Rhinolophus ferrumequinum: one gene and its partner. The protein of the gene in region 1 purifies or fractionates together with the protein of each later gene. This does not show direct contact. Links are inferred from orthologs where the notes say so. Each region holds a gene or a part of one and is shown in the gene's direction. Other genes may lie near its edges.

Evidence for each region.
Region 2: the proteins of DNAJA2 (region 1) and PLD2 purify together in Homo sapiens (affinity purification with mass spectrometry; 3 studies listed by BioGRID and IntAct, with this or other methods). This does not show direct contact. The link is inferred for Rhinolophus ferrumequinum from reciprocal best matches to the Homo sapiens genes DNAJA2 and PLD2.

What each region holds. Positions count from the first base shown.
Region 1 is NC_046298.1:2,995,623-3,007,302, reverse strand, and holds the start of DNAJA2 (dnaJ homolog subfamily A member 2), read left to right. Parts: upstream 1-6,422; 5' UTR 6,423-6,540; coding exon 6,541-6,618; intron 6,619-8,114; coding exon 8,115-8,174; intron 8,175-8,477; coding exon 8,478-8,701; intron 8,702-11,326; coding exon 11,327-11,407; intron 11,408-11,666; coding exon 11,667-11,680. UniProt on the Homo sapiens protein: Co-chaperone of Hsc70. Stimulates ATP hydrolysis and the folding of unfolded proteins mediated by HSPA1A/B (in vitro).
Region 2 is NC_046304.1:12,537,774-12,549,237, forward strand, and holds the start of PLD2 (phospholipase D2), read left to right. Parts: upstream 1-6,841; 5' UTR 6,842-6,968; intron 6,969-6,974; exon of another isoform or gene 6,975-7,104; intron 7,105-7,287; exon of another isoform or gene 7,288-7,457; intron 7,458-7,639; 5' UTR 7,640-7,640; coding exon 7,641-7,749; intron 7,750-7,828; exon of another isoform or gene 7,829-7,833; coding exon 7,834-7,964; intron 7,965-8,049; exon of another isoform or gene 8,050-8,065; coding exon 8,066-8,208; intron 8,209-8,619; coding exon 8,620-8,725; intron 8,726-8,814; coding exon 8,815-8,880; intron 8,881-9,022; coding exon 9,023-9,081; intron 9,082-9,217; coding exon 9,218-9,310; intron 9,311-9,402; coding exon 9,403-9,555; intron 9,556-10,027; coding exon 10,028-10,177; intron 10,178-11,464. Other genes in the region: 40S ribosomal protein S20, read right to left, coding at 1,618-1,977.

The sequences.
Region 1 (11,680 bases):
CGAGAGCAGTACCTATATAAATATTTCACTTACTATATATTTGTGAAATGAACAAACAGATGAGTACATGAATATTTTATACAAGGAATACATTTACTCATTCACTCATATTTAACTGCTTACCATCAATAAAGGTTCTCTCGTTGACCAAACTCTTCTCAGACTCCCCTGAATGTTACTCAGCTGGGCCTGACTTTTGGTGTCTGTATTCATCTCTGCATTGTCCAACTTAATCAAGAACCTTGATAAGTCAGTTTAATCCAAATCCCCCATCCTCCATACCTGATCAGGTCCCTCATCCCCCACCATCCCCAGCTGATGTCTGCTCACCCTGGCCTGACTCCAGCAGGACCCCTGTTACGTCAGCTTACCCAGAATCCCCTCACCCCGGACACTTCCCCTCAGTACTTTTCCATCCTCTGACCCCCACCCTGCTCCCTGGCTCTAAATTCCCACTTGCCCAGGCTGTGTTGGGATTGGGCAAAGCCCAGTCTCCCCCCACTGTGAAATCCCATCCCAGTGGCCCCTAGACCTATCAAATAGTCCTCCCTTGAGTAAAGTCTTCCTTACCATGCTTTATCCAGCATCATTTGAACAGTTTTTTCTTTAACACTATGTATAAAGCACTTTGTAAAACTAGAAGAAATAAGCAAGAGAGGTGTAGCTCCTGCTCCCATGAAATGTACAGAGAAGAGGGGAGGAATCTTTAAACTCCTTTCACACTCAGAGCACTTACTGCACAACAGGACGTCAGGCTGTGGCCCTTGGCCTGTGCGCGATCTACAGACGGTATTTCCTTCGCCCTTCGATGGCATCCAGAACCTAACAATTATAACACCGGGTATCTCCCATCTCCCCAAAACAATGTGATCTTTCACATCAGTGGTAAACCACATTCATGTCTCAGTGTACACCCCATTCTGGAATCCAGTTGCTGGAAAACACAGGCAGTATTGGAGCTGCCTTTCTGGCCCGTGGTCTTTGAGGAAGGAGGCCATGCCCGTTCTATATACCTGGCAAGACTGAGTATCAACAAACACTGGTGGTTGTTACTGCCGTCGGCCATAGTGAAGGAGAGCAGCCATGGTCTGTGGCCTTGCCCAGGGCACCTTCTAGGAGTGGTTACAAGGAATACTGACGAGTTCATTAGTCCTGCTGAGAAAAGAGACAAAGGACTGAAGAAATGCTGGGGTGTGGTAGACCAGGGTAAAAGGGATCAAATATATGCTGATTGGTGGTGAACACACAATGTGATATATAGGTGACATATTATAGAATTGTACACCTGAAACCTATGTACTTTACTAACCATTGTCACCCCAATAAACTTTAATAGAAAGAGAGAAAGAGAAAGAAAAAGAAAGAAAAGAAAAGCGTTGCAGGAGTGGAGAGGTGTGGCACTTCTCTTCAGGCTACCACTGACCTGATGGCTTTCTAGATAAGGAGGGCTATTCGTTCAAGACCCTTCTTCTTCTGCTAGTCCACTAATCTGTCAGGGAAAAAGTATTTAAGTGGCTTATCTTTGGTTTGCTGAAAGACAATTTCAGAATGGGATCTCCTTTCAAGGAGACACAGAGTTGAACTACAACCATTTCAGCGAGTTTCATCTCATGGATATCTCCCTAAAGAATATTTCACTTTGGTTTCTTTCTGAGGGAAAGAGGGTTTCCATTGCCAAGGCCAACAGCCCCCTGAATTTCTTCTGTGTATTTTTCCAGTTGGAACTGAGTAGCTTGTTTCTTTAGTAGGGAAAATCTGCTAGCCAAGTTCTCAGCTCAACCACAACTAAAGTAATGTCTCCATTACGTTGACCTAGAAACTGTAATTCAAAGCTACTGTTCTTACAATTTCGAGGTACCTATCCCTGAATCACAGGAGAAAGCTAATGACTTCAAGTTCAAATGGCAAATGCTGGTGCTGATGGCTGCTGGCTTTATATAGTCCCCTGGGAGATCTTTAATTCCAGGATATTTTAAATTAATGCCCTCTGTTCTGAAGAAAATTTAAATTTGTCTTTGGATTTAAAGCAACTTCCTTTAAAAATTAAACTATTAAAAAAAATTCAAAACTTGATTCAGCCTTGTATAATGCCCCTGAAGAATTAAATCCTATTTTCTAATAGTTGGGAAATAAAGAATAATTTCTAAGGCATTTTCATTTCTGGCATAAATACACATCTTAATTACAAGTCAAGTGTCCATCAATAAAGAACTAACTAAATGAATCATGGTACGTCCTCACAATGTATGGAAAGATCATTTATACATATATTACAAGCCAAGAATTAAGACAGTAGTGGAGTTGGAGAGTGAGTGAGCCAAGAGCTAAAATTTTAGAAATAAGGCGGAATTACCCTAGGGGTCAACAAATTAACAATGCAAAGTGGTGTAGTAGGTAATGTAGTCTGGGGACTGGAATGTAAAAGCTTTATGATTTTAGGAATGTAGGCGGGAGAAATATCTGGGAACAGAAATGAGGGTCACTCATCACACCTCCAGGCTTTCCTTCTAAAATCTGCACCAAATCCATTCACTCCTGTCCGCTTTTACTGTTGCCAGCTTAGTCCATGATGTCTACCTTTACTTCTCTTTCTCCTGGATCCTGAGCTTCCTAGATCTTTTCCTTGGTCCTTATCTACCAGAATTTTCTGTGTCTTTGATACTGATTTATTTTAACCCAATGAAATTCACTGAGAAAGAAGGCAAATCCCAAATTGTGGATTTGGAATCCCACAATGGAATCCCAAATGGAATCCCAAATTGTGACTACCTTGATAACTAAGTCAGAATTGAATGAGCTTTCTCTATTCTATTCATTTTTTTTGCTCTGTCTTAGCTATTTCATTTTTTCTGATTAAAGTATGTCAAGACCTCTTGGCACTAAGTCTCGGAGAAAGACTTGACAAATGTCACTACAGATTTTGGATGATTTTCCTAATCTATGTTATCAATTGTACAATAATAATTGTTCTAACAGTTAAGGTGTGAAAATTTTATTAAGCAAATTCATAACTTTAGACTAAGGATTACATGCCAGATCAAAATCATCTGTTCTTCATGTGTGAAATTGACAAAATAAAAATATTAATATTGAACAATATTCTAGAAATGTATCCTATGGAAATAACAATATTCTATTAAAGAAGTGTATCCTACGGAAGCAACTGAAAAAAATACAGAAGAAATAGGCTATAAGGCTATTCATAGAAGCATGGGGGAAGGAGCATCAATGTTTTTAAAAAGTATAAACAGTCTAAGTCTTCAAATATAGAATCACCTTAGACTGTTTTAAAAAATACAGTGCCCTGCCCTACTTCTGATCAAGCCAATCAGGACCTCTCGGAGGAAAGGCCCTGGCACTGGAATTTGTAAAAAGTTCCTCCAGGGGTTCTAATGTGCAATTATCGGGTGAACTATCTTAGGTGAATTTACCCAGTCTTATCTCTATATGCACCATCAACATGTTGGGTGGGGGGATCCCAAATTTACACTTCCAGGGGACTGCCCCCCCTTCCAACTCCATTCTTAGAAACTCAATTCCTTACTCAAGATTTCTCCTTGGATATAGCTAATAAGCACCTCTAATTTATTTATACTTTTAAGTGTTTTAGCTGGTATCACCTGCTTTGTACATTCCAGACTAGTTATATAAAAAGCAGGAAGCAAAACTACTGTCTGACCTCCCTGAATCATGTGGACAGGGCTGTCTACGTACGGTGATTCCATGGGTCTGCATTCAGTTAGTGGTGAACAGTATGAATGTCCTTAAAAACACTGCACTTCATACACTCCCTCTGCACCCCGACCCCACAGTCACACAAGCCCACCACATTTTTAAAAAGGAATTGAACAACAATGTGAGCCCAGCAGCAGTCTGCGATCCCTCCAGCCTGGGACTTGAAGTTATTGGCCTGGAGAGGGCAGCCCTCATATGCACTGTGACTCAGCATTTTCTGGGGCCCGAGACATGAAACGAGATAAAGGTCTTGTTCCCTTCATGGCATTAGCTAAATCTGGAGCGACCTTAAAAACACAAAATCAGGGACTGAAATGTTACAGTGCTCACGCTGACACACGTGATGACCGGGAGGAGAGCATGTGTCGGGGTGAAACACACAGAACTGTTCTGAAATAACCCGTTGACCTGTAAAATTAGCCAATAAGAATGCTGATTACGATTAACACTCGGAAATGGAGAAACTATTGTAAATAAATGAAAACAGAATACAAATATGAACTCTGGTGAGTTCATGAGTCAGGTAAAAAAAATCACTTAGAGCTAAGGAGGCAATTTACACAGCTACTCTTCACTAGAATATCAGAAGCTAAACTTGAACCACGTGAAGGTTTTTTTCCCCTTGCCAAAAAAAAAAAAAAAATCGAGTAAAACTGAAACAAATAGAAAAATCCAGCTCCTTTTACTGTTCTATGGGCAGAAAGAAAATAAGATGAAAATAAGATAAACTATATGAACATTGCAATAAAGACAGTTTCCGGTTCCTATTTTCATGTGGAGCAGGAACTGATGAAGAGGATACAGTAATTGGCAAGCAGGGAGATCTGCAGAGGAGAGACCACAAAAAAGGATGGAGGGGCTGTCCACATGGGCAATTGAGGAAATTGGGGACTCCGGCTCGGGAAGCCAGGAACTTAAATGAATAAAGACGATGAGTAGAGATGTGGAAACAGCCTATACGCAAATGGGCAAAAAAACAATTGCTAACACTTACTTAGTTTTAGCTCCTGTACTCTGTATTAACTCTTTAATTCTCTAAACAAGCGAATGATACCCATTTTATTAAATCCCATTTTACACATGAAGAAAGAGCCTCAGAAAAGTAACTTGCTCAAACTCACATTGCTAATCACCCGCAGGGCCAGACTACCAACCCACACAATCTAACTGCACCATTTTACGTTGCCTCTTATGAACGTCTCTAAACATGAAAAGGAAGTGGGGAAGTTGAAATTATTGAGGCCTGTAATGCATTCAAAACCAGACCACGTGCGGCACTGAATTTCCCCTAAGAAACCTACAGCCTGTTAATGGAGTTCAGACTCACACCAAAATACCATTCAAATCAAACCTTTGTACAAACGGCAGAAGCCAAAGGCAGTGGGAACGCAAATGAGACAGCTGTGTTCACCAAGCTATGGGGTCCAGGAAGAGGGCACTGAGGGAGGAGCGATGGGACAGGATTTGAGGGAAAACGGGGAGTTAGGTGGAAGGAGCGGCGAGTGCGCGTTCACATGAATTACTCCCCAGGGCTTTCAGGATAAATCTCAAACTCCTTGGCAGGGTAGCAAGGCCCTCCACTACTAGGTCTTAAGGGATTCCCAAGGAGAGAGATGATCCTGAGATGCTTATGCTGGAGTCTTTACTACAGTTCGGGTCTCAAAGGATCAGAACATCTTATTTTTCTGTGTCTGTAAATCATTAGTGGGTAGAAGACAGGCTTATTCTTTTGTAACAGTCCCTCCCCCAGTCTGAGCGACCTTACATAGTAGCCCGGTGGTAAGTGTGTAGCAAACACTTTCTGATGTCAATATAAATCAGTGAACATCAACTACCAGTGACTGCCCCAGCCTGGCTGCCTCATACCGTCATCGAGACCTCTGCTCTTAGCTAATGTTAAAGCTCTCCAATAAGAGACTTAAACACGTGATCCAGGTGCAACAGGCAGACCTTTGCTTGGACCTAGATGCCACAAACCAATCATGAAAGCACATTCATGAGACAACTGAAAATCTGAAGGTGGACTAGGAATTAAAGGAATTCTTTTCATTAAATGTGATGATGTGATTATGCTTTAGAAAGTCATCTATTAGATACATAGACTTCAGGTATTTATGAACGAAATCGGTTCCTTAAAACACTGGAGGTCCGGGAGTATGGGGGACAGATGACACTCCTGGTGACATGTGACTGCTGTACTTGTCTTGTACACGTCTTGGGTGTAATTTACTACTTTGTGTGAATGTTTGGAAATTCCCTGATATGAAACGCACACGACACACGCACACCCTCAGGTGCTGCTGTTCATCGTAAGCCCCGAGGGAACCAGACTCAAAGGGTCCACCGGCGGCGGCGTCTGGGTTCTGAGGACGGGCCCGGCGAGCCGGAGGGCCTCCCGCGGGAGCCCGGACCGAGTTTTCTGCCGCCGGCCGCGAAGCTGACCGAGACGGCGGCCCCTGCACCCCGTCGGCACCCCCTTCACGCCTTTCGGAGAGAGCTGACTCCTGGAGAGCGCCGCGCCGTCCTCCCCATTTCTACGCGGGACCCCGGGCGGCCCGGGCCGGGAGGAGAAGCCGGCAGCCGCCCGCGGCTCGGCGGACACCCACGAACCCGGCGGCCGCGGCCGAGCTCTGGGGGCGGGGCTCCGCACAGCGACGTCACGGCGCGCCGTGCGAGGGGTCAAAGTTTAGCTCCGCCCCCGCTTCCCTCTCGTTGTCTCCTCGGCCTGCGCTGCAGCCGCCGCCGCTGAGGTGCGCTCCGTCCGCTCCGCCGCCTTCCTGCCTGAGCGCTGCCCGGCCGGTCGCCATGGCGAACGTGGTCGACACGAAGCTGTACGACATCCTGGGCGTCCCGCCCGGCGCCAGCGAGAACGAGCTGAAGAAGGTGCTGGGGAGCGAGCCGGGCGGGAGGGCGTGAGGGGCGCGGGCCTGCGCGGCTGGGGCGTCCAGGCCGCGCGCTCCCCGGCGGCCCGCGAGCCGGCGCCGGCCGCCACGGGCCCGGGCTGGGGGGCGGCGGCGGCGAGACCGGCCTGCCGCGGGGCGCGCTCTCCGGCCTCGGCTGACCTTGGGCCGCCGGCCCCGCCCGCCCTCAGATGCAGCAAATAAAACCCACCCCTGCGCATAACACGAGGAAAACGCTTCCTTCCTCCCTCCCCCGGCGGGCGCCGGGCGCCGGGCGCTCCTGGGACGCAGCTGCCTGCCCGGCCCTCCCCGCGCCGAGGTCACCACCCTGGAAAAACAGGTTGGGCCGAGGCGCCCGGCGCATCCCGGCCCCGGGAGACAAGCTGTCCGCGCCGCGGACGCCGGGAGCGGGTCGGGCTGGTGTGAGGCCCGGCGGAAGGGAGGGTCGGGCCGCCCCCGCCGGAGCCTCGGGGCCGCCGGGGAGGTTTCCCGGGCGCCGCGGCGCCCGCAGCTCCGCCCTTGCCGCCTCCGTGCGCGTTGACCCCGAGGCGGCGTGGGTCCGCGTTTGCGTGCATTGTTCGTGGGCAGGTAACCTCACGGCCCTGGGCCCGCCGTGGGTCCTGGCCAAACACCTGAGTGTACACTGACTAAAAATAAATGGAAGGCCTCATTATCGCTCCTCGCGGTGCCGCGAACCTGTCACCTCAGGATTTCAAAGCACTTGAGGCTTTGATGGAGCCCCAGCGCATCCTCGCGGGGCTCAGAGCATTCGGATTTGTCAGCTGGGAAAAAGAAGAATGCCCCCAGGGCAGTGGCACGGGCAGTGGAGGGTAAAATGGACTTCCTGCTGCCTTACCGGAAGTGCTGGTTTCTATTATGTAATTCATGTGTCTGAATGGAGTCCTAAGTGCTGTATCTCTCAGCCACCTACATTTATGTAATTTCACTAAGTCTGAGGTCACTCCAATCACGAAGACCCCACATTAGTCCACTGTATGAAAGAAAAGAAAACAGGACCTGCGAGCTTCCCGTGGCTTCTTCCTCGTGGTACATTTAGAGGAGCCTTCGTGAGCAGGGATTCTTACCTACCTTTGCTTAATTTTTAGTAATAATGTTTTGCAGTTTGCAAAGCTTAGCAATCATTTCTTCTTAGAGTTGATTAGCGTCTTCTTGATCTAGTTACTGGCCGTCAAAGACATTTGGCAATAGCAAAAGTGGGGATTTATTAACACTTTGTTTTTCTCTGTGGCGTTGTTTCATTGCTTGTATCTGGCTTCAGTATAACCTATTTTCAGGTGTTACTACTGTGGCTTTGTTATTGGAACAGTTTTAAGATGGAAAATGCCAATAATCCCAATGACTAAAAGATACTTTTTGGAACGTTAGGATTTCACAACACTGCTGCTCAGAATATTAGGTTGTAGTTGTAAATCTTTAAATGGGTCTTTGTATGTAACTTTTTTTTGTCCTTTATTGAAGGCATACAGAAAGTTAGCCAAGGAATACCATCCTGATAAGAATCCAAATGCTGGTGACAAAGTAAGTTATTTGAGACTTTTTCCCCTTGACGTTTCAGTTTTAAACTTAAGTTGCCCTCTTTGAAAAAAGGAATGTTGTAAGAAAAGTCCATTTATGTCCATACAGCCAAGTTTTTGTGTTAAGAGTATTTTGTTTTTGTAGTAAGAATGCTAACATTCTGGGTAGTGGTCGGTGATAACTAGGATTGGAATCAAACCAAAGGCTACTTGTAGCTTGTAGAATTAAGTAGACTCTGAATTCCTGTAGCCTTTCCCCACCCACCCTTCTATTTGAAAATCCAATTGTTTTCCTTTCTCATTATAGTTCAAAGAAATCAGTTTTGCATATGAAGTACTATCAAATCCTGAGAAGCGTGAGTTATATGACAGATACGGTGAACAAGGTCTTCGGGAAGGCAGCGGCGGAGGAGGTGGCATGGATGATATTTTCTCTCACATTTTTGGTGGGGGATTGTTCGGCTTCATGGGCAATCAGAGTAGAAGTCGAAATGGCAGAAGAAGAGGAGAAGACATGATGCATCCACTCAAGTGAATATCTTTTTTTCTTTTTAAAAAAAACAACAACTAAGTGGTTTTTTTTTTTCCAAGTAGTAATCTTCAGTAGTAAGAGAAAAGGTATCCAAAAATGTTCTGTCCTTCATCAGAAAATAAAATCTTCCATTTGCTTTACTGTCCTCATTTGAATTTGATAACCTGGGTGTTTGCTTTTTGCTAAAATCTTGATGGTTGGTGTTTTTACTGAGTAGGAAGGTCGTTTTGTTTTATGCTTCTGATGCTGCTTGTTACTATATGGTTTAAATTTTTAATTACGAAGATTCTCCTCTTTGACGTATTTAAATCTTTCAAATTAACTTTTATTTAAAAACTTAAACAGTGAGTGACTATCTGGCTAGTTTATTTACATGTTATAGTCACTCATTACTTGATCCTCAGTGTGAACTCTTCTAAATTGGTTTCCATGGATCTTGCTGGCTTCAAGCCTGACATTAACCTGCCAACATATGAATAGTGTCTGACCTTGATCTTAGACTGGGAACCCATGAGCCCTCTACAATATGAAAATAGCTATTTTAATTTGCAAAATTGTGAGGTCTTTTATCCTGTTAATTTATTCATTAACCAATAATGATTTTACTAGCAAATGCTAGTAAAGATTGAATTTCAAGTGTTTATTTGTAATTCATGTTATGTAATTTATACATTTGAGTAGATTAGAGGAAGTAAAGCATAATCTGCTACATTGTTTGAGTCTTATTCTTAAATGTGTTTGTATTTTAAAAGAATTAACCCTCAGAAATAAATTATCATTTGGATATCATCGCAACAATAATAGGCAGTATGGATTAGTTCTTCTGGATTTTTCTTTGATATAGAAATGGTCTAGGAAGTAAATAGGATGAAGAGAGTGTTTACTGTATCTTACGGTTCTTCATCTTCTCCATAAGATTTTTTTCATACTCTACAGTAAATGCAGTTTTATTCCCTACTGTTTTCTTTTAACATTATTTTAAATTTCCCTATTAGGACAACGTTTCATTTTGTGTGACTTTATAATATTCCATTCCATGATTTTTTTGATCATTCACCTTTTCTATAGGATGTTTTTCTCTGTAATAAATAGTGCTGCTGTGAGTATCTTTATATACAGCTTTGTCTCTACTTGGCACAGATTCCCAGGCAGGCATCCGTGTTTTGAGGCCGATAAATACAATTAAATTGTACTGTAGAGGACTGTGCCAGTTTAGTCCCACTGGGGAAGGGTGCCAGCTTTGCCAGACCGTTACCCACATTTTTCCTTCCTTGGCCATGTTTGTTGAAGTGAGGGTTTTTCTGGCCTCTTCAATAGTGGTTTTGCATACTAATTGAAATTTAATACGTCAGGGGAAAAGACCTACCTGTTCATTTTCTGTAAACGATTGGTGAAAGGTCTTATGAAGTACAAAAGACAGATGCAACCAAGTGCTTTTGTCTGAGGTTAAGCTGTAGATGTGTCAGTATTTGGAAGTGCTGGTAATGTTTTGTTCATAAGTGTTTTATTCTTATACTGCCTAGAATGTAGGAAGTTTTAGCTTAAGATAAAAATTTTGAGAAAATCCAAATGCCACAAAATAGGATAGGTGCTTTGCAGAATACTTCCAACTATTTTTTGTTCCTCTATTTTAAAGTAAACATGTACTAGTAAAGGAGATTTAAAAACGCAGTGAGAAGGGTAAGACCAGACTCAGTGCATCACTGCCAGATCCTAAATGAAGAGTAGTTTTGAGACTTCTGATGTACATAGGTTTGGTTTTTTTTTTTTTTTTTTTTTAGGTTAGTTTGGAAAGGAATGGTTCTGTAATTCACATATGCTGTGTGAATAAAGGCGAGTTGGGTTTTATCAGTGGTATTTTTTAATAGATTTTTTTAAATCACCCTGTTTTGGGTCGTAGAGCTCTTTGAAAAGCTGATACAAGTTGTTCAGATACACAGTTGTACAGATAACTCACTGGGTTCTTCAGTGCTCTAACACTTGTAGGCTCTCTGTTGAAAAGCTGTTCTTTTTTTCCTCTGACGAACACTTTTCCTCTTCTCTGTCACGCTGTAGATAAGGCCACTTTTTTTTTTTTTTTTTTTTGAGACATGCAATCTGAGTGCCTCCCATAGGTTGTCATATGACTTTGTAGCCTTTGCAAATTGTTTTTGGAGGGATGAGAGCCTTGTAATAGAGCGTGGACTCTAGAGCTAGGCAGTCTGGGATCTTGGGCAGATCACTGAACCTCTCTGTGCCTTGATTTTGTCTTGTAAAATGGGGAGAATAATTGTACCTTCTTCAGAGGCTTAGATTCGGTGGAGGGCTCCTGCCTGAGGCCAGAAGAAGGTTGTGGTGCTTTGGTTTGAGCAGTTAGTTACCAGCTTTATCAGAAAAGGCAGCGCTGCAGACTGTTGGCTTGATCCTGTAGGTTCTGGCTTTGGACACCATATGCACTGTCCAGAACCATAAAGTCTGCCTGCTAATTGGAGCCACAAAATAAAATCTCAGTCAGATGACTTAATGTGTTTTTGAAGTCTTCGTTTTAAAAGGTTGTAGTGGAATTCACTGTACCAGCTGTCATTTATATCTTGTATTTAAGAGAACTTGGCAAATTTGATTGAACCTAATTCTTTTCTCCCCAGAGTATCTTTAGAAGATCTGTATAATGGCAAGACAACCAAACTACAACTTAGCAAGAATGTACTCTGTAGTGCATGCAGTGGGTAAGTGTGTGTTCTTGTCCCTGAAATAAATTTAATCTGTTCTTTCAGTGGTACATTGAGTCTATTCCAGATAAAAATTGTTCATGATTTAAAACTACCCAACACAGAACATTTTCTGATACTTCTGAATGGCAGTTTAAGTACCAGTCATTGGGGGTTGAAGAGCACGGTTAAAGGTGAAAAGCACAATTCCTATTTGTCATGACCTACTGGAATGGTCTCTGGGCAAACATCTAATTGGTACTTTTGCTTGCTGTAGCCAAGGAGGAAAGT
Region 2 (11,464 bases), on another chromosome or scaffold:
TGACTCCAAGCCTGAACTTGTCTGGTGTACTGCTGTTTGGACAAACCACTGCTCTGAGCCCTGAGATTCAGAGAGGAGCCTTTATAAGGGTGGTTTTCAAACTTCTTTCTCTAGGCTACCTTCTCCATTTCCTTTCCTCTACCATATTCAGGTCCTTGTGACACCAGAGTGTGGTTGATAGGAGGGCTACCACCCTTGTTCAAGCCTGAGATAGAACTCAGAATTCTGAGTGAGACTGAGGTCACCTCCCATTAGTCTGCCTCCTACCTGTCATGGGTGGCTACTAGCCCTAAAGCCAGGACTCTCGACCTCCTCAGACCCAGGCTCATGATCCCCACTCTCCACACTCACCTCTATCACCTCATCTTGTTAGGAGCAGCAGTGTGACTTCCTTGGCTTTTGGGAGAAAGGTGGACCTTGTTGGCAGATGGTAGAGGGCAGCCACTGGGAGTGCTGTGCGCCAGCTCTGGAAGGCACCATTCCCATGGGAGTGTAACAGGTCAAGTCTTCAGCCCCTTGGATGGGAGGCCAGGGACCTAAATGAGCTCAGTGGTGCTCATTGACAATAACCAACATTCTCAATTTTGCCTCAATCTTCTTCCCTCTCCCCTCACCCTATGGATCAGGGAACTATATAAGCCATATTTGAAAACCTTGTTCTAGAATATAATCCTGCCCTGGAGGATTTCTGAGGGTACAGGGAAGCTTCCTAAGGAGTGGGGGTAGGGGAGAAATAAAGAAGAGCAGAGAAGGATCTCTGTCCACAAACATGTGTACCTCAAAATAACCAACACACTTTCCTGTAAAACCTGTTCTCCCAGTTCTCCCTATCAAGGCATCTTTCATTCCTCTCTGCCTTGACTCCATATTCAGTCCAATAGTAAGTTCTAAAAACTCCAAAAGTATACCAAAAAGCCATCTACTCTCCCCATTTCCATAGCACTGTCTTGAGCCAAGCCACCATCGTCTCTTGCCTGGAGGATGGCCACACCCCCTGCTACATGGCCTTACTGCTTCCATACTTGATCTACAATCTTTTCCCGTTCAGCAATCAAAGTGATCTTTCAATGTAAATGAGATCATGTCGTTTCCCTGCTTAACATTCTTCAGTGTCTTACCATTCCATCTAAAATGATATTTTACCCACTTACCATGGCTTAGAAGACCAAACATTTCTCCTCAATCTTGACACTCTAGTCACTGTTTTTTTCCGTTTCCTAGAATCGAAGGGGTTTTGTACTTAACACTTGCTGGTTTTTCTGCCTGGGATTGTTCTTCCCTGATTTAAAAAAACTTTTTAGAGCAGTTTCAGATTCACAACCAAATTGAGTGGAAAATACAGAGATTTCCCTTATACCTGCTTGTCCCCACATATACGGAGCCTCTCCCACTATCAACATCCTGCATCAGAGTGGTACATTTGTTACAATCAGCAAACCTACATTTGACACATTGTTCAGGTCTCAGCTCAATGTCCTCATCAGAAAGGCCTTTCCTAACCACCTGAAATTTAAGAAACACCACCTTCCCCTCCTCCATTTTGCTCTCACATTACCGTTTAATTTTCTTTTTTTTTTTTTTAACAACTGATAAAGTCAATTTATTAAAAAGATTGACTTAAGCATCTGCAATGGTGACTTCAACCTCGACTCCTGGCTCAATACTGATGGAAGTAATCTGCTTAACAATCTCAGAAGGACTGTGCAAGTCAATCAGTCGCTTGTGGATCCTCATCTGAAAGCGATCCCAAGTCTTAGAACCTTCACCACAAGGAGTTTTTCTTGTAGTGATTCTCAGAGTCTTGGTGGGCATCCGAACTGGTCCTTTTACTTTGAGATTTTTTTCCTTTGCGCCTCTGATCAAGTCAGCACACACCTTCTCCAAGGATTTTACGTTGCGGCTGGTTAGAGTAATTCTAATTCGGTGAATCGCCACCTCTGGTTCCACGGGTGTCTTGCCGGTATCTTTAAAAGCCATGGTTGCGGCGCGGCTTCCTGACCGACTTGTTCCTCCGCGAGAGCGAACAGCGGTGAGTCAGGAGCAGGAGCGGGCGAAAACGAACGACGATCGAACCACGACCGCGCCTTCCTCAAAGAGCTAATTTTCTTCATAGCAGCACTTAAGCCTTATCTCATAGTATCATGCTTATTTTTTTTTATTTTTATTGTCTAGCTTCTCTACTAGAAAGGTCAGTGAGACGAGAGAATTCTTTCTGCTTGGTTCACTAATATATCCCCAATGCCCGGATACATTTATATATTTATTGAGTGAATATGCTCCCTAGTCCTGTCTGCTGTCCTGCCTAGCCCCCAACCTTTCCAAACTGCAATCACCACACTCAACTCTGAAGCTTGATTTCAGCAAACTTCTGGCTAGCACACCTGGGCTCTGCATTACATATTCACCACTCCAGTGTCCCCTTCGCCACCCAATGCTGCGTTTCCCACCTCAGCTCCATAACCCAGTCTAGTGCTTGGCCCCATCTACTCCCCACCCCAACACCCAAGCACATCCACACAATACTTGGCAACTCCGAATATATTTAATGAGAAGGTTATGAGGGATTTGGGGAAGCCAGAAACTGAGAATTGTGGGGAAGGAAGGTTGCCAAGGCTTCCTGGAAGTTCAGCCCCTGGTTGTCCCTTCAAATGGTGGAGTCATTGGCCGATGCTATGTCATGCAGCTGGTGGCGGAAGGAGAGTCGGGCTTTCCTGCTAAAGTAGGCACCAGACTCTAGGGAGGGTATCCCTCCCTCAGCCACGATGGGCGCGATAACTGGGCTGGGATCTGGATCTGTAGGGGCAGCTGGAGCCAGACCTAAAAGGGAGATTGGAGGAAAAAGGGAGTGGTGGGTCTGGGTCCTCCTTCCCTCCCCCATGCCCATCCCCAACCCTATGAGTAGGACAGAGGCCAGGGAAGACACTGGGAGTCTTGGGAGGGGTGAGTGTTGGTAGCATCAGCAGGAAGAGGGAGAGGGTATCTTGGGAGAACAGGGCTGGCTTCACTGCCCTTCAACCTGTGCACTGGCCCCACACTCAGGACCCCCATGCTGGATGTAACGCTCTGCTGTCACCGACTTGAACTTCTTAATCATTTTTTAACAAGGGGCCCCACTTCTTCATTTTGCATTCCTGCAAATTTGGCTGTCCTGCAGATTATTTAGCTAGCTCTGTGGGGAAGCAATAGATCCACCAGGGAGACAGACTATCCTTTTCCCTTCACCGGTTTAAGAATTTACCTTTCTCCCAGTGTAGCTTATCAGTTTGCCTGACAAACCCCCCTTTTCCCTCAGTCTCCCCATACCTGCTCCTCTTTCAGTCCCCCGCTGTCTTCGGCACCCACACCATGGGAAACACCATGCCCCCTTGAGACCCATCTCAACAATGGAGACAGGGTGCTGGGAATGGCCAGGAGGGCCCCAGGAGGAGGGGTGTGGTTTCCAAGCCCCCCCACTGTGGGCAAAACTACCACTTAGCTTCAGACCGCCTGGTGATTACAGGCGCCAGGGGATGGAAGGGGGAGAAAAGGGAGGAGGGAAGAGGTGGAGGGATTCCCTATTCAAACACCTATCCATTTTTGCCCCCTTAATGTGGGGGCTCTCTTGATCCTCATGGAGAAGCAAAAGGAGACTGGGACAGGTGTCATGGCAGAGACAAATACAGAAGTGCTGGGACATACAGGTGCAGTGAAAATTCACTACAGCGTTGTTGGGCCACTTGGTGCCAGCCTGGACACTGCTGGGGAGTCATCTGTATTTTAGAATGACAATGTAGAATTCCCAAGATGTAAAAATTTAAAGAATAGTCTATTTTTTTTAGAACAGGAAACTTTACTAGTCAGGGAAATGTTATGCTCTCATTAAATGGTCTGGTAGCTCTTGTCCCCTTTTATGAAGACAGTTGTAATTGATTAATAATGCTGTGCCAGGTAAATTCTAGGGATTTTACATGTTATCTCATCTCATGTAATCATGTCAATGACCCTTTGAGGCGAGTGTTATTACTATCCTGATTTTACAAATGAGGAATTGGAGGCACTGAGAGTTTGGGTAACTTGCCCAAGGTCCCACAGGCAGTTATCAGCAGAGCAGGAACTCTCCCCCACTCCCATCAGAGTGACCGCAGAGTCTACTCTGTTTGCAACCACACTGAGCTTCCCAAGCATGTCCCTAGTAGGCACTGATGCCCCTGGGTAGGTCTGGGGCGGGTGGGTGACCTGAGCCTGGGCTGGGAACCTAAGGTGCAGAAGCCCCTAGCCAAGGACTCTAAATGCCCTCCAGTAAAGCTGCACAAATGTTATATTATTCCCTATGGGTGCCATGATGTGTGTGGAAAGGTTGGGAAGCACTGCTGACTATACTGCCTGACTTAGAAATCTGTTTTTTGTTTTTAAATTAACTTTATTGAAGTAAACATTTACATATAATGTAATGCACACATCTCAGTGTACAGTTCTAAGAGTTTTGACAAGTATATATACCCATGTAATCACCACCCCAATCAAGATATAGGACATTTACATTTCCATCACCAAGTTCCCTTGTGTACCCCTTCACAGTCAATCTTTCCCCACCCCCGCCAGAGGCAACTATTGATCTGATTTTCATCACTACCGATTGGTTTTGCCTGTTTCAGAATTTTATATAAATGGAATCATATAGTATTACTCTTTTGTGCCTGGCTTCTTTCAGCGTAATGGTGTTGAAATGCATCCATGTTACATGTATTAAATCTGTTGGGGTTTTTTGTGTGTAATAACAGCTTTATTAAGAGATAATTCACCCTTGTAAAGTATACAATTCAGGGCAGACGGGTGGCTCAGTTGGTTAGAGCGCGAGCTCTGGGCAACAGGGCTGCCGGTTTGATTCCCACCTGGGCCAGTGAGCTACGCCCTCTGCAACAAGAATGAAGTCAATGAGCTGCCACTCAGTTCCTGGGTGGCCAGATGGCTCAATGGGTTTGAGTGCGGGCTCTCAACCACAAGGTTTCCAGTTGGACTCCTCGACTCCTGCAAGGGATGGTGGGCTGCGCCCCGGCAACTAACGGCAACTGGACCTGGAGCTGAGCTGTGCCTTCCAGAACTAAGATTGCAAGGACAACTTGACTTGGAAAAGTCCCGAAGTACACACTGTTCCTCAATAAAGTCCTGTTCCTCTTCCCCAATAGAATCTTTAAAATAAATAAATACATAAATAAATTAAGTATACAATTCAGTGATTTTTACTGTATTCACAGAGCTGTGCAAATATCCCGACCAATTTTATAACATATTCATACCCTCAAAAGAATATCCATTAGCAGTCACTCCTCTATCCTCCTTTTCTTCAGCTACTAATCTAATCTATTTTCTGTCTCTGTGGATTTACCTATTCTGGACATTTTATATGAATGGAATCATACAAAATGTGGTCCTTTGTGGCTGGCTTCTTTCAATCAGCATGTTTTCAAGGTTTATCCATGGTGTAGCTAGTGTATCAGTACATCATTCCTTTTCATGGCTGAATAATATTCTGTTGTAGAGATAAACCACATTTTGTTTATCTATTCATCAGATAATAGACATTTGGGTTGCTTCTACTTTTTGGCTATTTGAGTATTCCTACTATGGACATCCATGTACAAGTTTTTGTACATATCTAGCAGTGGAATTGCTGGGCCACATGATAATTCTATGCTTAACATTTTGAGGAACTGTTTTCCAAGGTGACTGAATTATTTTATACTTTATTCATTTTTCTTGCTGAGTAATAGTCTATACACCACAAATTAATCAAAATAGAAAATTTCTCTTCAAAAGGCACCATTACTCTACAAGGACAAGCCACGTTCTGGGAGAAAATATTTGCAATACATATTTGTGATAAAGGATTTGTATATGTGTACATATATATGCATGTATGAATCACAATATCACAATAGACAACATGGTTTTTTTAAAAGTTAGCAAAAAACTTGAATAGACACTATAAAAGATCTACAAATGGCTAACAAGCACATGAAACACGGTCAACATCATTAATAATCAGAGAAATACAAATAAAACTACAGTGATGTACTATTTTACTTATTAGAATGGCTAATAAGTAAAGACTGTAAAGATTGACAGTATCAAGTGTTGGCCATGCTGTGGAACAACTGAAAATGTAAGAAGGAACAATTGTTTTGGAAAACAGTTTGGCTGTTTCTTCTAAAGTTAAAGAACACTTATATGACCCAGCAACTCCACGCCTAGCTATTTGCCCAAGAGAAATGAAAACATATATTCACACAAAGACTTATTCCGGAATGTTTACAGGAGCCTTATTCACAATAGACAAAAACTAGAAACCACCGAATGTCCATCCAAAGAAGAGATAAATAAATCTGCTTTAAATAAATTTTGCATTATATTACCTTTTAGAACCTGAAAATGTCCCGGTTTCCCCCTAGGATGTAAGTTTCAGGACATCAGGTTCCTTGACTATCTTGTTCACTACAGTAAGTACTCTCAATGTCTGGCACCGAGCAAGTGCGCAATAGCTGGTGAATGAATGAAAGAATGCAAGCTTACGTACGTTAATGAATTTGTGGCCACCATCCATCCGGCCTTTTATCATGCCTTCCATCTACAAACGCTGGCCAGGACAGGCCCAGTGTGGCTCTCAGCCCGCCTGGGAAGGGGACACCCACAGGTACCATCGCCGAGGTGCATCTCCACAAGGGCCAAAAAGGCCCCAGGGGCCGCGCCGGAGGGGGGTAAAGTGTGCGGCGTCGAGCATCCACAGGGTGGCGGCAAGGCACACTTGGACCGACGGCGCGGGACAGACGGACAGACCTGTTGACTGCACCCGCCGGGTACAGAGAGCAGGCCGCTCAGACTCGCAGCCCCGCATCGCAGAGGAGACCCCCTCGGCCAAGGGCGGCGCGCAAGACCGCGGGGCGGGACGAGGGCGGCGGGGGCGGGACAGGACAGACGAGAATCCCGCGGAGGTGAGGCGGGGGGCCGTCCCGCCCTCGAGGGCTGGCCCTGAGGCCGCCCCGCCCCAGCTTGCTGGGGTGTGGGCTCCGGCTCAGCTGGGCTCTGTCTGCACGCGACCCCGCATCGGCGCTGGTTCGGGCTGCCCGGGTGAGGGGTCCGGGGAGGGGGTGCCGCGGAGGGCCGGGACCCAGGAAGTCGGGCGGGGACAGGAATGGGCCCAGGCTGCGGGGCCTCCTGATTCAGCTGCACACTCAGATTTTGGGTTTTCCCTCCCGGGCGGGGAGAGCACAACTTCCTCTTTTCCCGCCTGGAGCCCCTCTCCCAGCCAGCCTGGCCTAGCTTGAGTCCCGGCGGCTCCCGGCCCCTTGCGACCCGCGGGGCCCCTTCCCCTGGCTTTTGCTCTGCCCCAGTTCTGGGCCATCGGAGCCTGGTGTTCCTGGCTGGGCGCCCTGGTTACGGGACTGGAGGCGGGGTTCAAGGGTTCTGGATGAAGGACTGAGGTAGGGGATGAAGTTAGAGGTGGGTTGGCAGGGCGTTGCAGACGATGGGGCTATCATCAGAGAGAGATTGGGAGTTAGCGGGAGACAGGCGGATGGGGAAGAGGGAGGTGGAGGATATGGTGGAATGGGGGGCAGAGTTCTGCAGGGCAGATCACCTCTCTGAGGCTTCCCCTTATTCCTAGGATGACGGCGAGCCCCGAGAGCCCCTTCCCCTCTGGGAGCGACCTGGACTCCAGCCAGTTACAGATGGAACCCGATGAGGTGGACACTCTGAAGGAGGGAGAGGACCCAGGTATGCAGGGAGGATGGCCCTCAGGGAGAGGACTGGCCTGAGTCCTCCTGGCATCTACACTCTTCCACTTTTCTTTCCTCCTAGCTGACCGGATGCACCCCTTTCTGGCCATCTATGACCTTCAGCCTTTGAAAATGCACCCCTTGGTGTTTGCTCCTGGGGTTCCTGTCACAGCCCAGGTGGTGGGCACTGAAAGATATACCAGTGGATCCAAGGTGGCTGGGCTGGCACCAAGGGTGGGAGTAAAGGGAAGACTGACCAGAGTGGGGGCTGCAACCCAACCAGGGGACATCCATGCAGTTCCTCACACCCTCAGGTGGGAACCTGCACTCTGTATTCGGTCCGCTTGACTCATGGTGACTTTACCTGGACAACCAAGAAGAAGTTCCGTCATTTCCAGGAGCTGCATCGGGACCTACTGAGACACAAAGTCTTGATGAGTCTGCTCCCTCTGGCTCGGTGAGGGGGACCAGACCGCTTCCTGTGAAGGGCCCCTCACCCTGTGGCATGAGATGTCACTGCCTCAGCCCCCATCTCTCCTTTTTGCCCATCTCACCCCCACACTGCAGCCATTCCTCCCCCAACTTCCCCTGCCACTGGGCCCCCTCTTCTGACCCTGGTTACCAGGAAACCTTCCCTGTTCAGCTCTCCCTGTCCATGGTTCTGTGCCAGTATCTTAGCCGGGCTAGATGCCCAAAATGCCCTTGGCAGCCTCCCGCATTTCTTGTCTCTATTCTCAGCGTAGGAGGCCTTCCTTCCGCCAGCCTTTAGGCCTCCTTCCTTGCTCCAAGACCCTCTCTCCAGTGCTTCAAGAACAGAAGCACTCAGCCTCCCACCTCTTACTTGACCCTCAACCCATCCCTTTCACAGCTTTGCTGTCCCCTATCCTCCAGCCCGAGAGGCAGCCGACAGAGAGATGCCCTCTCTACCCCGAACAGGTCCTGAGGGCTCCACCAGACATGCATCCAGCAAACAGGTGCGACCGGACACCAGGTACTCTGGGAAGGCGTTTGGTTTGCAAACGGTTCTGGTCCCATCTATCTCTGTTTCCTATTCCTACTTCAGAAATACCTGGAGAATTACCTCAACCGCCTCCTGACCATGTCTTTCTACCGCAACTACCACGCCATGGTAAGGTTCAGGTGCTGGATGCCTGGGTCTTTTTAGGTGGAGCAGAGTAAGCAGGTCCCCAGGGGACAGAGGACCAGGATCAGTAGGGTCTGAGGGGCTGAAAGCCTGAGTCTCTCCCCTGAGCCTTTGTTTTCCTCTGCAGACAGAGTTCCTAGAAGTCAGTCAGCTGTCTTTTATCCCAGACCTTGGATCCAAAGGACTGTAAGTGTCTGACACCCTTCACCCAGTCACCTGCAAACATCTGGATCTCTCCCTGCCTGATGATGGGGAATGCAGTGCAAGGTGGGCTGGGGGTCTGGATTCCTTATCCAGTATCTCTTCCTGACTTTTCCCACAGGGAAGGGGTGATCCGGAAGCGTTCAGGTGGCCACCGTGTTCCTGGCCTTACCTGCTGTGGCCGAGACCAAGTTTGTTATCGCTGGTCCAAGAGGTGAAGCCTAGAATGGGGCAGGTGGGACATGGGTTGGGGGTGAGGAAGGAAATCATGAGGGCAGAGGAACAGACAGAACCCTTCTGCTCCAGGTGGCTAGTGGTGAAGGACTCCTTCCTGCTGTACATGTGCCTCGAGACTGGTGCCATTTCATTTGTTCAGCTCTTTGACCCTGGCTTCGAGGTGCAGGTGGGGAAAAGGAGCACAGAGGCACGATACGGGGTCCGAATTGACACCTCCCACAGGTAAGGCCTCCTGGTACGGACAGACACTTGGTGAGTGAAGAGCCAGCCTAAGGCCCTGAGGGGAGTTGCATGGAAGAGCCCGTGGAAGAAGGGAAGGCATTTCCACCCCCCTGGAGCTGGCCGTGATTTGGAACTAGGGAACTATTCTAGCCTGATGCTTGGGACTGCTCCTAGAGTCTGGGCCCAGAGAAAGGGGGTTGAGCATAAGCTTGGGGGAGGGACTCTTGATGTAAAAGAAATGCACTCCATTCATTCATTCATTCATTCATTCATTTAACAAACCTGAATGCCTGGTACAATACTAAGTGCCAGGAACCCAACTGAATAAGGCAGATATATACCCTGTCCCTGTGGAGTTACGATTCAGGGACTAAGGGAAGTGGGAAAGAGGTGACAGCTAAATGGGGAGAGCTTCTGGGTCAGACCAGAAGTACTGAGGGTGAGGGTTGTGGTCTCTATTGTTCCTGTCTAGATCCCTGATTCTCAAGTGCAGCAGCTACCGGCAGGCGCGGTGGTGGGGCCAGGAAATCACTGAGCTGGCCCAGGGCCCGGGCAGAGACTTCCTGCAGCTGCACCGTCATGACAGCTACGCTCCGCCCCGGCCTGGTACTTTGGCCCGGTGGTAAGACATTGATGTCCCTTCTGAGCTTGTCTGTGGCCTTCTTGATTGACTCCCTTGGTGTTCTCTGAATCCTTGATCCTCTTTTATCTCCTCTGACCCCTTCTGATCTCAATAAGCCCCCCCTTTGACTTCTCAAATCTCCTGACCCCCTGACTTCTTTACCCACATCTATCTCAATGATTCTCCTCTGATTTTTCTCACCCTCAAACTCAGTAATCTCTTCTGACCCCTGAATTCTCTGACCTCCTCTGACCTTTTGGGCCCCCTCTTACCACACTGACCATACTCTCTGTTCTCTATGATCTCCTCAAATCTCTGATTTATTCGTTCATTTAATGAACATTTTGTAAGCACTACTATCTGCCAGGTCCAGTGGCAGGAATAAGACACAGTCCAGTAGGTGATTAAATCACAAAACAATGGGAACTTGCCTTGTTGGTGGTAGATACAATGTACCGAGCACAGAAGAGCAGCATTTGCCCCAGCGTGGGGTTGTCAGGACTGGCTTCCAGAAGGCAGTAACCTTGATGTTTGCCTTAACAAGATAGAGAAAATGGAGAAGGGCGGTCCATGCAGAGAAGTTAGAAATAGCCTGGTGTGTTTGGGAACCACAGGACTGACTGTTGTTGCAGAGTGAGGAGGAGTGGTCAGAGAAGAGTACGGGAGTTGGCAGCCCCTGATCTGTGCCCTGCATGCGAGGCTGAGAAGGTTGACCTTTATCATAGGCAAAGGGGAGTCATGGAAGGTGGTGTTGAGATTTCTTTTTAACATAAGGACAATAATAGCTAATACTTATGTAGCAAATACTATGTGCCCGGAAGTGTTATAAGAGTTTTACATGTTTTAACTTACCGAGGCAGGTATAGTTATCTCCATTTTACAGATGAGAAAACTGAGGCAAGGAGAAGTTAAGTAACTTGCCCTGGGTCACACCTTGTAAACAGTGGAACCAGGATTCAAATCGAGGCAGGTTGGGTCAAGACTCTGCTCTTAACCATCACACTAAACTGTTAGTTATTAAAAAGTCAAACAATATAAAAACACATTAAAAATGAAAAGTTCCCACTCATTGCACAACCCTTTATCTCCTAGCCCTTACTTCTTCCCCACACTTCTTCCCAACAATCCCATTTCTGTTCCCAGAAGTAATCCTGGCAACAGTTTGATATTTACCCTCCCAGGTCTTTTTTTGCATTTTTTCTTACACTTATGCATATAGTATGTTACTTTTTGTTTTAACATAAATAAGATCATATACTCTCTTCTGTGACTTATTTTTTCATTTAA